Linked DNA regions of Caenorhabditis elegans. The protein of the gene in region 1 purifies or fractionates together with the protein of each later gene. This does not show direct contact. Each region holds a gene or a part of one and is shown on either strand. Other genes may lie near its edges. The genes, in order: acdh-12 and F08F8.6.

Region 1 (5,107 bases):
CCCAAACGATAAAGAGCAGCTTGATCAACTGTTGTCTTTTGTTCAATAACTGCATCTGGAGCTCTATCTGGGACAGTGGCAGCTTTTATTTCATGAGGTGATGTACGATCCCCTCCGAAGTTACCAGAACCGGTTTGAAAAGTACTGAATTGTTGCATTGCAATCTTCTTTCCATTTTCATCATAAGTGGTAACATTTCCAAGAATCAAAGCACCGGATCCTTTGTCAAGAATATCAACGACTCTAGCTTCAGATTTCAATTTTCCTTCTGCTGAAAGTGGTTGATAGACTTCAATATATTGTTCTCCGTGAAGAACTCTAAAATGATTAAACATGTGTTTTCAAGAAATCTTATAAGAAAAACCTCTGAAGATCAAATTCAACTCCTGGCCAATCCATCAAAGTGTGAGCTTGAAATCCTGGAGCAACAATGTACGATGGAAGCACTTTAAAGTCTTCATGGTTCTCATAAACGTAGCACAAATCTTCTTTCGCTCGAGCACCAACTAAATGAAATTATTAATCACTATTCAAAAGGTCTTAGAAAAAATTACCTCCAAGAGCATAAATAATAGCATCTCTGGTAGAATATGAGAACTCGCATGGCTCTGCCACATGTGCGCAAGCAGTTTTCTTATCCATTTTTAAGTATTTGTCGGAGAAGAAACAAAAACCAAATAATGAAATAGAAAATGCCAATACCTAACAAGGAATCGGTACAGTGTAGTCTTGACCCCATGTGTTGATAAGACTACGCTGCAGACTACATAACGAGGGTGAAATCAATAGTTTTTTTTTAAAAATAAGCACTAAAAGAATTATTACCACATACTGATAATTATTAGATGTTTTAAATAATTTGCAAAAAAAGTATACAAGGCTTTAAATTTCAATTAAAAAATATATAAAAACTAGACTTTTGTCGGGAGAGATGTACAACGTGTTCATAGTATACTATAGTATTTGGGTTTCAACTTATAGAAAATGATCGAATAAATTTCCTTCGTTTTGAATTTTGAAGCGAAGCACGCACAAAAATTAATAGACCAGTTTCAGATTTCTCTTAATTCAGAAACATTCATCAAATACCTATGACGCCTTGTCGTCTGTTCAATAAAATTAACATGGAAGGTCGATTTATTTTTTCCGATATTTAAACAACCAAGGATTGTTTGTCGACTGTTAAATAGCTAAATTACAGTATCCATTCTACGAACCATTTCTCTTTCTTTAATTAAAAAAATAAAGCTTATTTTTTCGCGTAAAAGCCTTCCGAAAAATTCACACGTTTTCAAACTTGTGCATTCGCTAAATTAGTTTATATTTTCACTCGTTCACTTTCGTACATTGAAAGAATTCCAAATTCCATACGGTTCGTTTCTATAATGTACAGATTTATTCAGATGTAAAAAACATTAAAACATGAGCCGTCAAATATAGTGCCGACGGTGTGAACACACCACCGTAACACCGTGACGACAGATTGCGGATTCATTTTTCTTTCAGAGTACGATGCAGAAAACTTCTGTAATTGTCGTTTTTTTTCTATTTTAATTTATTTTGTGGCCGTTAAAGATAAAATATAAGACAACAAGTGTTCATACGAATTTTTCAGTACCATGAGGTGACCCGTAGAGCTATAAAATCATGTTTTTCTTGAAAATTTCATCGAACCTGCGCTAAAGTGTATTTTATCACATTGTCTTTTCACTAGTGCGTAGCCAGGGCCGTTCAAAGTACATAGGGCAAAGTCTACAAGAGATAACAATGACCGTCCTCCACGTTTCCTCTCCATCGTTTGTGTATGTTGGCGATTAATCAGTTTATTATGGAAAATTTACGAAAAATACTGAGCAAACCATGTTTCCAGTTATTTTTAGTTAACTTTTAAACTTCTTATTTTATGAAACACTCTTTTATGTAATCCAAAAAAAGCAAAAAACCTATTCGTTCTTTTTTGCGTTCATATAAAATGCTAAATACTTTTCTATAAAACTTATTCTGAATTCTATTTATTTTGATTGCTCTTGGACGTTCAGTGTAAAAAAGTATTGTTATGTCTGTGTTCTATGTTCTCTCACATGCTGCGTCTCTGCTCTATCCACCGTTCGACCCCCAAGTTGTTTTCTTCACTCTTTATCTCCGTCATCGCTATTTACCCCCTACTGATTCACTGATTGAAACCTATATTATTGGTTTTTTCTTCCAGAGAAACGATGCTGTCAACGCTGAGTAAATCTGCACGGCTCAACCAAACACGATTCATTCGTCTTTCGCATTCTGCTGCTGCTGCAAAAGATGCAAAACCGAAGAAGGTCGCTGCAGTGGACAGTCCATCATTTGTCATGAATCTTTTCAGAGGGAAAGCTGTGACTGACCAGGTATTTGAGAATTTTAGCAGGACCTGTTCAAACTGCCAATTTCCAGGTGTTTCCGTATCCTCTGAATATGACTGACGAACAGAAAGAAACTCTTGGAATGGTGATGTCTCCACTGGAAAAGATGCTTGTCGAAGTTAATGACGTCGTAAAGTGAATAATAAATCTTAAATTTACATGATCAATTTATTTATTTTCAGAAATGACGAGACTTCTGACATTCCAAGAGCAGTTTTGGACCAATTCGCTGAGCTAGGAACATTTGGTGTACTCGTTCCACCAGAGCTTGAAGGTTCCGGATTCAACAATTCTCAGATGGCCAGAGTCGCTGAAATTGTTGGAGCTTACGATCTTGGATTTGGTGTTGTCATGGGTGCTCATCAGTCGATTGGCTACAAAGGAATCCTTCTCGAGGGTACGGATGCTCAGAAACAAAAATATCTTCCCGATTTGGCAACTGGACGCAAATTTGCTGCTTTCGCTCTTACCGAGCCAACTACCGGATCTGATGCTAGTGTAAGCTAGAATATTATTAATTTCTCATAAACTTTAAATTTATTCAGTCAGTTAGAACGAGAGCTGAATTGTCTGCTGATGGTAAGCACTACGTTTTGAATGGTGGAAAAATCTGGATTTCGAACGGAGGATTCGCCGATGTTTTCACTGTGTTTGCTCAGGTAATTTATTTTCATTTTTTGGAAAAACTTTCACAATTGATTATTCAGACTCCTGTCAAGCAGGCCGATGGCTCAACAAAGGACAAGATGTCTGCATTCATTGTCGAAAGAGCGTTTGGTGGAGTCACCAGTGGACCACAAGAGAAGAAAATGGGAATCAAGGGATCGAACACAACTGAAGTTCACTTTGATAATTTAAAAATCCCGGTTGAAAATCTTCTTGGAAAAGAAGGAGAAGGCTTCAAGGTGGCGATGAACATTCTTAATAACGGAAGATTCGGAATTCCAGCTGCCTGTACTGGAGCTATGAAACATTGTATCCAGAAGACTGTCGATCACATCACCACTCGTGTTCAGTTTGGAAAGAAACTTCAAGAATTTGGAAATATCCAAGAAAAGCTGGTAGAAATGATCTCGAAACTGTATGCAACAGAGTCAATTGTCTATATGCTTTCATCAAACATGGATCGTGGAATTAAGGAGTATCAACTTGAAGCAGCTATCGGCAAGGTTCTAGCTTCAGAAAATGCTTGGCTTGTATGCGACGATGCTATTCAAGTTCACGGAGGAATGGGATTCATGCGCGAGACTGGTCTTGAAAGAGTTCTCCGAGATCTTCGTATCTTCAGAATCTTTGAAGGAGCCAATGATGTTCTCCGCCTCTTCATTGCTCTTACTGGAGCACAACATGCTGGAAAGCATCTTGCCGAGCAAGCTTCTGGAGTCGGGGGCCTTATTGGGTTGGCTGTTTCAAGAGTTACCGGGTTTGTGAAATCACATTTTTAGAATTATTAAACTGTATTTTTCAGAGGAAACACTGGCTCCAACTTTGGGCAAGTCGTCGACGCAAGTCTTCAAGATTCAGCTAAAGTATTGGATCAGCAAATTGCTTTGTTTGGACAAACAGTTCAAGGATTACTCATGAAGCATAAAAAGGGAATAATTGGTAATAAAATACCTTTGAACTGCTTTTAATTTTAATTTTTGTAGATCGTCAATATGAGATGCACCGTGTTGCCGACGCTGCCATCAACATTTACAGCTCTGCCGCTGTTCTTTCTCGTGCCACCTATGCCATCAAGAACAAATCTTCAAGTGCTGATTTTGAACGCAAAGTTGCTACTTACTACGTTGATAAGGTAATTTTTGATAACTGCCAAATTTTAAGTTTTAATTTCGATATTTACTCTTTCAGGCGATGAAATCATCAAACAGATTCCTGAAGGATGCCGGAAGTGGTGTTGAGAATGCTTCGAAGGTAGCAACAATTGAATCATTGGCGAAGGAAGTCTGTGGAAATGGAGGACTCACTCTTCAACATCCAGTTGAATTGTAAATTGTAAACTAGACTTGTTTTTTTTTATCGTAAGAAGCTCTTTTAGCCAGTCTGTATGTATCTAGAATTGAATTGCCTTCTTTTTTGAATTTTCGGGTGCGAATATTTTATTTCTTGTGCTATAAAAAACGGAAAATAAATTTTATCAATTGAAATTTTATACACGAAATTAAATGAAAATAAGCGGATCGAGAATCTGATCTTCTCCATGGTTCTTCTCGTAAACTAGTCCGTCAGCAGAGTATTTCTCATTAAATACTCCTATTTGATCAAACCCAAACCATCCGGAGAATGGGTTCGATGGTTTTGAAATTTTTGGAAGATAACCTTTTGATTCACCGTATTTTTGAAGTTTTTGTGAGTACGTGCTATGCCAGTATCTGAAGACAATGAAACATTTTAAATATTTTTTATATTTAATTACCGTTCAAATACAGCTTTTATTTGTCTATTGATATCTCCATAATGTGGTTCTTCGTCTACAATAATTGCAGTTCCAGTTGATTTGTAAAAGTATTCAGGTCCATAATTCGATGAACCAATGAAGGTTCTTGATTCGGAAATCATGAATTTTGCATGCATCTTACGATCTTTATAAGCTTCTTGAGCGGTTTGTGGAATTAAAATGAACTTCTGAAATATTTATATTTAATAAATGTTCAAATTGCGAAGGAGATTTCGAATATTACTTAAACGCGAAATTTCGCCCCACGAAT
Region 2 (4,822 bases), on another chromosome or scaffold:
TAGCAATTCAGACAAAATCTACTTACCTCGGGTCTATGTTTTGTTAAACCTAAATATAACGCCACATAGCAAATAGTCACCGATTTTTCCAACGTTTGCTACGAGGATATGATTCATAAAAAAACATTTTTCCAGCTAATGAAAGATGTGCTAAGTGGAACAGGAAGTGAAGTGACAAAAGCAGTCCTGTTGAATATTTGCCTCGAAAAACGAAATGCTCAGTTGGTATGTGGACAACGTGGTCAAGGATTAGATCTTCTTATGGAAATGTCTATCAACTCGAGAGATCTAATGCTCATAAAGGTTGTTCGAGCGATTTCAAGTCACGAAGGTGCGACGCAGAATATGTTTTTGGTAAGTTGAGAACTGAATTATTATTGAACGGTGAAAATAGATAACGAAAAAAAATGAACGTTGTTATTTAAATTTAGAATTTTCAGAAGTGGATTGAAACTCTTATCGGGATTGCAAAAAATGAAGGAGCAGACAACTCAGAGTCAAAATCTTCATTTGGTTTAGAATGCATGGGTACAGTTGCTGAGCTCAAAGTTGCTCCGTGGGCAAAGTGAGCTTTTTGAGTTCGGAATTCCAATCAAAAACTTAAATTATAGAATAATTCAATCTGAAAATCTTGTTCCTTGGATGAAAACTCAACTTCAAGAAGGAATTGATGAATCCGAAGAAGTGACAGTACTTCGAGACATAAAACCTCTCCAACTACAAATTGTAATTGCTTGTGGAACAATGGCTAGGCAATTGGATGCAGCTAGGTTATTGGCTCCTTTGATTGATACATTTGTGCAGTTATTACAATGTACGTTCATAAATTTAAGTTATTTTTTAAGAGTTTGTTTCATAATAAAACCCCAGTAACTTTTGAAAACATAAAAGTTCATTTTTCCTCACAATCAGATTTAAAGGTGGAGCTTTGCCAGTTGGTAAATTACAAAATGGAAATTATTGAAACTAGTTGTGTTTCAATTGTATTTGAACATTCTAGGAAATCGAACATGTAAAAATGTTCAAAATTACTCAAAAAGTACATATTTTTGGAAGTAATTGGCAAATTAACAAATCTTCAGCTAAATCTTTTTTAAAATCTAACGTTTTTGAAGTGTTTTACTGGTGTCATTTTGATCTTTTTTGGGTGTATCGAGAATACAAATAAATTACTGAAAAATATCGCAATCTTTTTTTCAGCATGCCAAATTGATGATGAGTTTGTTGTGCAACTTCTCTACGTTTTCTTGCAATTTTTAAAGCACAAGGTATAACGTTTTAGAGTTTTTTCAACTCTCATATAAATTTTTCAAAGGAACTATCTGCTCGCCTGATGACTCAAGATTCAGCTCTCGGAGCCCATATGATCGATTTGATGCACGATGCAAACGCAGTGGTTCGAGAAGTTTGCGATAATGCCCTTTTGATAATGGGTGAACATTCAAAAGAATGGGCAAAACGGATAGCTGGAGAGAGATTCAAATGGCACAATGCACAATGGTTGGAGATGGTTGAGGTATGATCGTAGTTATTTTAACAATTTATTCGTTGATTGGTACAAATAATATTATGATACTGGTCACTATACAAATATACTATACAAGGTTTTGGAAATTTAACGTCACTAGCATTTCCTAGTTTTATTTCTGTATAAAAATACTTTCAAAAACGAAGACACTCTGACTATCCCGTTAAAAATATGTATCAAAAACATCATTACTTTAAATGAATCTATTTAGTAGTTTACGGTGAGTGTTACGGTAGAAACAGGATAGCAGTAATGCAGCTTGAGTTACATTACATTAATATAGGCTCTAAAGTCACCGGTTAAAAATCGTTTTTCCAGCGAGACGACAGCGAATTCGTAGATTACGATGATGAAGATTTTGGAGCTGATCTCAAATTTGATCACTATGATGATGGATTTGATATGAATGAGCCCCTTTTTTAACTTTTGTTTGTTGTTTTTTTAACCTACAAATTATATATTTTTACTTAATAAATGAATGTTTTGATTTATATGCAAAAAATTAAAACAAAATTCACGTATAAATATTTATCTTTTGAAAGGTCAAATTTTCTCTGGCCATGTAGTGTTTCACATTTAGTGTTTCATTCCTCGAAGTGACTGCTTCATTTTATTCAAAAATGAACAATTCTTCAAATGTTACAACTGCAATAATTTCGGTAAGTTGTGAAACTTTCAATCTTGTGAATCTTAAAGGTGGAGTGAATGGGGACACATATAGTACTTGAAAGAGTCTAGGACTCAAAAATGCCACAGAAGAAAATAAGAGAAATTATTAAGAGACCATGAGATCATGAGAATGCCTACCGTTTTGGCGCGGGAATATCTCGTAGCGAAGGTACCTAAATTCTCATCGCCGCATGTTCTTACAATTAGATTACTCTAGATATCCGAAGAATCTCTCCTGCCGCCATTTTCGCGCCAGAAAGTAGACATTCTCATGCACCGATGGTTTCTTAATACTTGACACGTTTAATTTGAAGTGGAATCTAGTTGCATCGTGGCTGGGAACCTCATTAGCAGTTCTCATGTTAATCGGATTTTCAGACAACAACGATCGATAACTTACTCAAGCAACACCAGTGTGAATATTTTCATTATAATAAACTGGCACTTGGATTATGGATTGTAGCTTCTGCACTTTGCTTCATCGCGTTGTTGAGTACCATTTACTCGGTTTTCAACGCATTTCAACTATGGAGTACGATACAGGATTTGGATAATGCAATCATCGATTTGATTGACGAGGCAAGTTCAACTCTTCAGAAATTGCCCTTTTCGATAGTTGTGAATTGAACACCTCTCTTTTGGATACTTCTACAAAACATTATATTCACACATACAATACACTTGTAGGTTACTGTAGATATCCGAAGAGTCTCTGAAGTACTATCACGACTCTCAAGTCAAATGATGAAAAACTAACGAATAAACTGTAGTTTCGAACTTCTATAATGTTCCGATACAAAAATAAACATTCGATAAGGTTATTTTTAGAAAAAATTGGTTTTGGTCAATGCCCCAAATTATGATAGAAAAGTTTTCATAAAAAGTTATTTAATTTTACTAGTTTCAGGCGTTGCAAATTCTCCTTCCAATCGAAATCTGCAAACAAATCTGTCATCCTAATCATTTGGGTTCTGTCAATGTGAACTACTCGACAAATGGACAAAAACGTATGTCTTTCTCTGTATCTGTCTCTCCAAAATTCATTATTTCAGAGGAAACAAAACCAGGAAAAAAAGATAATCGATATCCAGAAGATGTCACATTTCCACCATCTGATATTGAACGTGTTTATGACACGATGGGAGGTAAGAATCAGAACTCGGTTATTGTTTAGTTGCCATACGCTCCAATTTTCGGCAACCAGCAACTTGGTTGCCCTGGTGGTCAGATAGACAGGGAGTAGGTATTGAGGGGGGTTGTGCAAGTCGGCAAAGCCGTAAGATGTAGGGATGAGGTGGACACGTACGCAGGCAGGTGTGAAGTAAGTATTAGGTAGGCAGAAGGAAAGGGACTGGTGAAGTGTCTGTCTATTTCTTGCAAATAATCGAAATCAATTTTCAGATGAAGATACTCGTAAATCGAAGACTATGACACTTGGAACTATTGAAGAGGTTTGTATGTTCACTCGAGTGTTTTCATTCATTTCAATCAATTTTCAGCCTGCTCCAAAATCGGCCATGCTCAGCTTACAGAAGACACCAAAGGAGAGTGAGACTGATCTGGTTCGTTTTTTATTTTTCGAAATATTTTTTAGCTTTTGTAGTACTCCAAGATCTTGAGCAAAAGTACAACCAATTTTTCAGAAAAAGACATTGCCACGTTCTCCTCCTCCAATTCCGAATCGTAAGCAGCCGTCTCGTGAGATCATGTTGACTCCGAAGCAATCTACAAAGACTGCAAATGCTGGAGGAAGAAGCAAGGAGCCGTCGTTGAATACTGCAATGAGCCAAGAGGCAGGAAATATCGAACCACGAAAGACTCCGAGTAAAGATACAATTGGAAGTACTGGAGTATTGCCATCAAATCAGGATAAGAAGACTCCGAGCAAGGAGAAGGAAAGTGTTAAAAATGTAAGCAACTGAAGAATGGTCCATGATGTTTTGTAATGCTCTTTTTTCAGACACCTGCTCCGACCCCGAAGCTAGGAACTGCAGAGCCCATCTGAACTTTATAGATAAATAAATGCTGCTTTGAATTTTTTAATTGACAATCATTTACTAACTATTAACATCACAACCTCAAAAAGCTCTGAAAAAATGAGCTTCAAAATTCAAAACAATATTCAAGTAATTAAGAAAATCAGCACTTCGAAATAGCAGCTTCAACTGCATTTCTGATTGTTGTCATGGCGACAGATTGATCTGCAGCTTTGATGATTCCAGTTCCACTCACGATCGCATTGGCTCCAGCTTGAGCAGAGATTTCAATATTTTCAGGTGTTACTCCTCCGTCAACTTGAATAGTCAGATTTGGATATTTTGAACGGATTGTGCGAACCTGAAAGCCATAAATTTTATTCGTATCAAATAAAAACCAAAATAAATACCTTTTCCATCATGTTTTCCATGAACTTTTGTCCTCCAAATCCTGGTTCCACAGTCATGATAAGAGCATTATCCAAATGATTAGCATGTCTAAAAAGTTTTTTAATTTAAAATCTAGATTGAAATATAATTTTGATTTTACTTCAAAATATGCTCAACAGAAGTTCCCGGTTTGACCGATAATCCCACTTTCATTCCACTTTTTCTGATTTTTTCGATCAATTCACTGACTGCCACATCA

What was found.
Region 2: the proteins of acdh-12 (region 1) and F08F8.6 fractionate together in Caenorhabditis elegans (co-fractionation; one large-scale study listed by BioGRID). This does not show direct contact.

What each region holds. Positions count from the first base shown.
Region 1 is NC_003280.10:7,191,873-7,196,979, reverse strand, and holds acdh-12 (Very long-chain specific acyl-CoA dehydrogenase, mitochondrial), read left to right. Parts: upstream 1-2,209; 5' UTR 2,210-2,216; coding exon 2,217-2,381; intron 2,382-2,427; coding exon 2,428-2,531; intron 2,532-2,578; coding exon 2,579-2,894; intron 2,895-2,941; coding exon 2,942-3,055; intron 3,056-3,103; coding exon 3,104-3,819; intron 3,820-3,864; coding exon 3,865-4,001; intron 4,002-4,045; coding exon 4,046-4,194; intron 4,195-4,250; coding exon 4,251-4,391; 3' UTR 4,392-4,546; downstream 4,547-5,107. Other genes in the region: maoc-1 (MaoC-like domain-containing protein), read right to left, coding at 1-318, 365-506, 555-642; E04F6.4 (PLD phosphodiesterase domain-containing protein), read right to left, coding at 4,561-4,771, 4,816-5,024.
Region 2 is NC_003281.10:7,341,623-7,346,444, forward strand, and holds F08F8.6 (uncharacterized protein), read left to right. Parts: upstream 1-2,066; 5' UTR 2,067-2,148; coding exon 2,149-2,187; intron 2,188-2,575; coding exon 2,576-2,776; intron 2,777-3,104; coding exon 3,105-3,204; intron 3,205-3,249; coding exon 3,250-3,342; intron 3,343-3,598; coding exon 3,599-3,648; intron 3,649-3,696; coding exon 3,697-3,759; intron 3,760-3,840; coding exon 3,841-4,107; intron 4,108-4,157; coding exon 4,158-4,202; 3' UTR 4,203-4,233; downstream 4,234-4,822. Other genes in the region: kap-1 (Kinesin-associated protein), read left to right, coding at 136-354, 441-565, 612-814, 1,201-1,268, 1,316-1,516, 1,847-1,951; F08F8.7 (Ribulose-phosphate 3-epimerase), read right to left, coding at 4,337-4,534, 4,584-4,671, 4,724-4,822.